Drosophila melanogaster: one gene and its partner. The protein of the gene in region 1 interacts with the protein of each later gene in a pairwise test. Each region holds a gene or a part of one and is shown on either strand. Other genes may lie near its edges.

Region 1 (3,362 bases):
ACTTGTAGCTGTATTAAAACGTGTTCACTTATTGATTAAATCATAGCCCATACAGTTAGTTATACGTTCTCAATTTTTGCCAATCTTGCGCTTCTGATTTCCAATGAAATAAAAGTGACTATTGTACGAATCACCCTAATATTTTTTCACAACTGGTATTTTTCTCCGTCCCGCAATCGGTAACACCATGCAGGGTGTCTGAGTTTCGAATCGGCATAAATTCGCCGGCAGCTGAGCAAGATGTATCCTGTGAGCTCGCAAAAGAGGTCCTGGACATTCGCCAATGAGGGCCAGCTCATGGAGTTCCGCGTGGAGCAGAACAGCAAGTACATCGAGTCGCACGAGGAGGAGGCGCAGGGTCGCGACCTCAATGAGCACTTTCTCACGTCGGCGGAGGAGCGCCTGTTGCTGAAGCAGTACGAGATCTACCTGTTCGATTTCTGCCGCCGCTTCGAACCGACGATGCCCAAGTGCGTTGTGGGCACGGCCTTCCACTACTTCAAGCGGTTCTATCTGAACAACTCCCCCATGGACTATCACCCCAAGGAGATTCTGTAGGAACGCTCACCTGAGAGCAGCAAACACCCAGCTGAAAAGCAAAACATTCTAAAAATGTATAAACCTTTTCAGAGCCACATGCGTGTTCGTTGCCTGCAAAGTTGAGGAGTTCAACGTGTCCATCAACCAGTTCGTAAACAACATCAAGGGCGACAGGAACAAGGCCACCGACATAGTGTTGTCCAATGAATTACTGCTGATTGGACAGCTCAACTACTACCTCACCATACACAATCCGTTCAGACCCATCGAGGGTTTCCTGATAGATATAAAAGTGCGATATATATTCACATTTGCTCTCCAGATTGTTTCGTTCATATTGGTTTGTTTCAGACTCGCAGCAATATGCAGAATCCAGATCGTCTGCGGCCACATATTGATAGTTTCATTGATTCCACGTACTACTCGGATGCCTGTCTTCTGCATACGCCTTCGCAAATTGCATTGGCTGCCGTCCTCCACGCGGCCAGCAGAGAGCAAGAGAATCTCGATAGCTATGTGACGGATCTTCTGTTTGTCTCCGCCAGGGAGAAGCTACCCGGACTCATAGATGCCGTGCGAAGTAAGTTTGTGCTGTGAGATGGTGCGCCCAGCCCTACATGCCTTTTTCCCGACAGAAATTCGCATAATGGTGAAGCAATATCAGCAGCCCGATCGGGAGAAGGTCAAGGCCATCGAGAAAAAGTTGGACAAGTGCCGAAATCAAGCCAATAATCCTGATAGCGAACTGTAAGACGCCCTAATTTGTTCATGCATTCCGAATTTAATAACCCTTATACTTTAAAAGCTATAAGGAGCGCCTACGCCGATTGTACACCGATGAGGATGACATGCCCGCCGAAGATGCCTCATTCCACATTGCAGATGTGAGCTCGGACACATCTGCTATGAACATCAGCCAATAGACTTAAGAATATTTATTTAAATGATGTGATGATCTACTACTGCGTGGATTTCATCGATATTAAAGCATTTTGTAATTTACCATTTCTTGATTGTTAAAATGTATGCGTTTAGTGTTAGTTTACTAAACAAAGTTGGATTAGGTACTTCACTTTTCCAATATATAAAATATTAAAAAAAAAACCTTTTGAAAATCCGCTTAGCGCTGCTTGGCAATATTTCGTTCGCAGCTAACGGCCACACTGCGCCCCAAGAAAAACAAGAATAGTGAACTCAGTCACAACAAATAGCAAAAAGAGTTCGAAATGCAGGATTTTCTGCCTTCGCTGGATGTTCTCTTTCTTGGACTACCAGGCCACTACTCGGTAGCGCTGGTCACCCTTCTGCTGTGCGTTTTGGTCGCCTTCTACTTCGCCAACATCTTCAAGGACAAAGGCGTGGGTGTTTTTGCCGGAAGAAGTAGACGTCTCCTGGAATATTTCCTTACATTATCTTGCAGGAACTGGAGGACGAGGGCCTGGGGGCCGACGAGCCGCGCGATGAGGAGGATTCCGAGTCACGGACTCCGCAAGGGGAGGAAACCGACGATGACGAGGCCTACGAAGAGAACTCCACCGAAAGCGAAGTTGAGCTAATCGAGGAACAGCTGCCCGAGCACAGCTACAACCACCTGATGGGCCAGCTCAAGGCCAAGAGGCTCCAGCATAAGATGGAGAAGACCCTGACTCCCAGCCAAATCGAGGAGGAGCGCCGAATAGAGCGCGAGCAGCTGGCGGCCATCTTTGAGCTCCTGCGCAAACAGGAGGCGGAATTGAACCTCCAGGACCGAATAAGCGACCAGGATCTCAAGCAGCAGGTGCGGCTCTATCGCTGAAGTGGCGCCGAGCCTGGGCTCACCCTACCTGAATGTACAGACTTGTGTGATCTATTAGTTTAATGTTTAAAATTCCAAGATTTGGTGTTGCCTCATACGGTCCACTAAGTGCGGGCAAGTCTTTAGTCAGAGAGCTATCTCATCAGTCGATGATGTCGGAATATAATATCTTAGTTGTATGTAAATTATATGTATTCCACTTCGATCTATGTATTTTGTGAGTTCCTGGTGTTATTAATATCTGATTTAGATTTGTAGTAAATGGCTGTTCGGCTCTTAGTCTCTTAAATCAGCTTTCGAATTAAGAATATATGTATATATTTTAACGTGTTACAAGATAAAAACTCGCGATCAGAAAGTGTATAGATTTAAACACAATTAATCGCCAAATTCGTTGGTTAGATTTAAATTGTGTTCATATAACTTTGGATTTATTTGTTCAATAAAGAATGTTTAGCTGTGTTAAGATGTAATATATACTCTAAATATTTCCTACCGTTTCCTAGCCAAATATCCGAAAATAACCGCTCATATTTTATATGCCGCGATTGGATTTTTGAAAATAATTGTTCTAACATATAGATTCCATCAGCACACCTTCGATTGGAGCAGTCGAAATGCTTAGCGTTTCTGTTCCAAATTTTTTAGTACTAAAATGTTTTTAAATTCACGTGGAGCAGATATTTTGTTGGAGTTCTAAATACGTTCGGTTTGGTTTGGTTGATGTTTAAACGTGTCGTTGTGGCGCCAATGCCCATGCATGTTTACTATCGCTTATCGATACACCGCGTACACGGCAACCGTGTGTGACCAATTCAAGCACGAAATCGTTGACCAACACTGATTGTACATCAGACGACACGACAACAAAAACAACAGCAACAACACCACCGACGTGCTTGTTCCTGTGTGTGTGTGCGTGTGAGATTGGAAGACAATGGCTGCAGCTGCGGATCTGGTTGTTCCTACCCTTGCCAGTGAGTATAGCCCGGATGCAATCCCCGCCAGGTGGTCACTGAGGTGCCGT
Region 2 (3,591 bases), about 16 Mb from region 1:
GGTTGTGTTGTTGTTGCTATTTCTGCTTAAGATTTGGGTTCTATTTGCGTGTGCGTTGACGTGGTCTTCCGCGCGGCCTGCAAGTGTCCCAGGATGACCCCGGGGGGTTGAGGTTAGTCTTAATTGTTCTATAATTACTATCATTCGTAGTCCTGGGCAAAGACCACAAACGTCACCAGAACGCGGATCTGTTTTCCCAGTTCTAGCACGGGTCGCCGCTCTGCGGGATTACCTCCGATTGGGCCTCCTGGCGCTGACCTCTCGATTTTCGGGTCGTTTAGATGCTCGCTTGTTGTGCGTCGTTTTAAATCATCACATATTTACCAAAATTTACTTGTCTGGGCCTATCGGGCCCTATCGATAAGCCTATGTGGGTCTGAGTGGCAGTGTGACCAGCTGCCCAATACCGATATGTTGGAACTAGTGATTGCGCGGAACCAATAATACCGCCTAAATTTGAATTCATATTTCTTTCTTAATAATAATAATAAATAATATTTATAAATGTTAAGAAATTGTTTAATAAACAAATGCAAACAAAAGTAGTTGTAATAAAAGTACTCTCGAACAACAAAACAGTACAACTGACTTACTATTAGGTATACATTTATCTGTACTTTCTTTTTTCTTTTTCATCGGAAGTCTTTTTTTTGTGCGCGGAATTGGCTCGAATGGGATATGCAATTTACATATAAACATAATATATGCACGAATATTTATGTACACATGAATGAACCGACGTATGGCAGCGGTTGATACATACAAATTAACTTAATTATGCATTCCAGTAAAGGGTGTTATCATAGATCGACGGATCGGTAGCCAGTGGTACCAGGAACATCCATCCAACAAATCCAGCTAAGTAGAGAATAATGGCCACTACTCGTCGCCAGAGATCCTGCTGCCACAGATCCTGCAGATCCGGCAGACCCATATGATTGCAAAACGCGTGCACCAAGATGGGAGCCATCACATGACCTGTACGGGCAAATAGAAAGGCCGAATAGAAGCCAAATAGCGTGGTGTAGATGAACTGGAACAGTCCAATCAATAGGGCAGTGCTCAACTCCACGCCTAAGCTCAGGCGTTCGGCTATGTGATGCAAGTGGGCTACTCCGAAGAAAAGCGGCGTTATGAAAACGGCGACCAGGGGCGAAAAGCTCTGCAGGATCAGGGGCATCATGCAGGCTCGGAACACGAACTCCTCGCTCAGCGGTGCTATCACATGGTTGCGCACCCAGATGATGCTGCCAAATGATCCCCTCCAGTAGTCCAGATCTGCAATTCAAATCAAGCAGTGAGAAGGGGCTGATAGGCAGAGGGGCTTTAACTATTACCGAAGTAGGAGCGCACGGACTCGTTCTGCATGTTGACAAAGATGGGTCCCAGGAAGAGCAGCACCGTCAGGCTGTATGGTATAACAACAGCCTGCCACAATCCCTCCAAGCGCAAACCGAGCAGCTTGGGAAATGGTACCCGGCTGAGCAGCTCCGGCGATGAGAAGAAGTAAACGAAGAACGGGGCTGCCAGCATCACCATGGACACACTGGCGAATCTTCTCTTGACCGTGGTTGGATGATCCCGGTTGTGTTTGGTGCTCCAGATGTAGAGGCTACCCACGTACAGAACAGCCAGAACGAAGCAACAGCTCACCGAAGTGGCCACCGGGATCTGGGGCAATGATTCGTGGACTACATTTTCTTGCATGGTGACTTCGGCTTCCGTCTCACTCAGGTTTTTCATTCAATTTGTGTTATTCGTCATTCTTCGCTGACTATTAGCCGAAGAAAAAAAGTACACAACGACAGCTGATTTTCAGCTGACTGCAACAGTAAGACCATTGCTTCGCGAGAACTAGTTCAAGATGGCAGTGGCATTTGGTATATTTTTATCACCATGGAAAGTAGTCGTGCTTCTTGGTCACATTGTGCAGTGATAAGCATCGTGGAACGGCGGCGATTTTCGGTTGTGTTTTTAAACTAAATTTACCGACAAAGTTACGAAAATAAATTAATACCAAGTTAGCCAAGGTATTCAGTTACCACCGCAGATCAGCCAAGATGTCGTTCCTACTGAAAGCAGTTACCACAGCCCGTCACATCGTTCATAAGGTTTCCTCGCACTCACATTCCTCTATAATATATCAACTCTTCGAAAAGAGAAGTTGAAGTGACCTTTGTCTTGGCTTTGTTTATCTTTCGATGATAGGTTCCCGTGCGCAACCTGAATCTGCTGGAGTTCCAGAGCAAGGATCTCCTCCAGAAGTATGGAGTGGCCATACAGCAATTCAAGGTCTTGAATAACTCCAAGGCAGATGCCGAGGTCGTCAAGACTTTTGGTAAGTGGAGGACGGAACCATGCCGGTGTTTATGTAATCCCTGGGCTAATTGGTGTTAAATGCTGTGCTTCTGTGTTTCAGAGTGCCCGGAATACGTGGTGAAGGCGCAGATTCTCGCCGGTGGGCGTGGCAAGGGAACTTTCGACAACGGATTCAAAGGCGGCGTCCATATCACCACCAAGTATTATAGATTAGGTCTATTCCGGCTATTCACATTCACATTTTATCTAAAAAATTAATATTATTTATGTTCTACAATATCATTTGTATATAAGATTAATCTTATCATTCTGCCCATATTGAAAATGATAAAAGTTTGTGAAAGCCAGAGTGTACCTTAAAAACACAAGTGATAAGACCAGCTTATACTAATAATTATTTAACATTTTGCCAGCAAGAGCGAGGTGCTTTCGCTTACCCAGCAGATGATTGGAAACCGACTGATAACGAAACAAACGCCCAAATCGGGAATTTTGGTCAACAAGGTCATGGTGGCACGCAGTATCAACATCACCCGCGAGACCTATCTCTGCATCTTGCTGGACCGCGAGCACAATGGACCCGTGCTGATTGCCTCACCTGCCGGTGGCATGGATATCGAGGCGGTGGCCGAGGAAACCCCTGAGAAAATTAAGACTGTTCCGCTAGACATTGGCAAGCCCATACCGGAGTCGACGCTCTTGGAGGTGGCCAAGTTCTTGGAGTTCAAGGGAGACTCTGTAAAGCGTTGTGCTGAGGAAATTCAAAAACTCTATACTCTCTTCAAAGCTGTGGATGCCGTACAGATCGAGATCAACCCGCTGGCGGAGACGGATAAGGGAGAAGTTATCTCCGTTGATGCTAAGCTCAACTTTGACGACAATGCCCAGTTCCGTCAGAAGGATATTTTCTCCATGGACGTCACCGAGGAGGAATCCGATCCCCGAGAAGTGGAGGCGGCCAAGTACAATCTGAACTACGTCGCCATGGATGGCAACATTGGCTGCTTGGTTAATGGTGCCGGCCTGGCCATGGCCACCATGGACATCATCAAGCTGAATGGAGGCGAGCCCGCCAACTTTTTGGACGTCGGCGGTGGCGTCAGGGAGGATCAGGTGGCCAAAGCCTTCGAGATCCTCACTGCTGACCCGAAAGTCAAGGGAATCCTGGTCAATGTCTTTGGCGGCATTGTCAATTGTGCCACCATTGCCAATGGCATTGTGGCTGCATCCAAAAAGCTGCAACTGAATGTTCCACTGGTTGTGCGACTGGAG

Evidence for each region.
Region 2: the proteins of CG7407 (region 1) and Sras interact in a two-hybrid assay, tested with the Drosophila melanogaster proteins (one large-scale study listed by BioGRID).

What each region holds. Positions count from the first base shown.
Region 1 is NT_037436.4:21,821,766-21,825,127, forward strand, and holds CG7407 (uncharacterized protein), read left to right. Parts: upstream 1-1,695; 5' UTR 1,696-1,766; coding exon 1,767-1,898; intron 1,899-1,960; coding exon 1,961-2,335; 3' UTR 2,336-2,806; downstream 2,807-3,362. Other genes in the region: CycH (cyclin H), read left to right, coding at 241-554, 631-832, 892-1,120, 1,176-1,287, 1,346-1,463; eIF2A (eukaryotic translation initiation factor 2A), read left to right, coding at 3,273-3,312.
Region 2 is NT_037436.4:5,562,013-5,565,603, reverse strand, and holds Sras (severas), read right to left. Parts: upstream 1,831-3,591; 5' UTR 1,744-1,830; coding exon 1,338-1,743; intron 1,279-1,337; coding exon 776-1,278; 3' UTR 501-775; downstream 1-500. Other genes in the region: ScsbetaG (Succinyl-coenzyme A synthetase beta subunit, GDP-forming), read left to right, coding at 2,061-2,111, 2,209-2,338, 2,420-2,519, 2,733-3,591.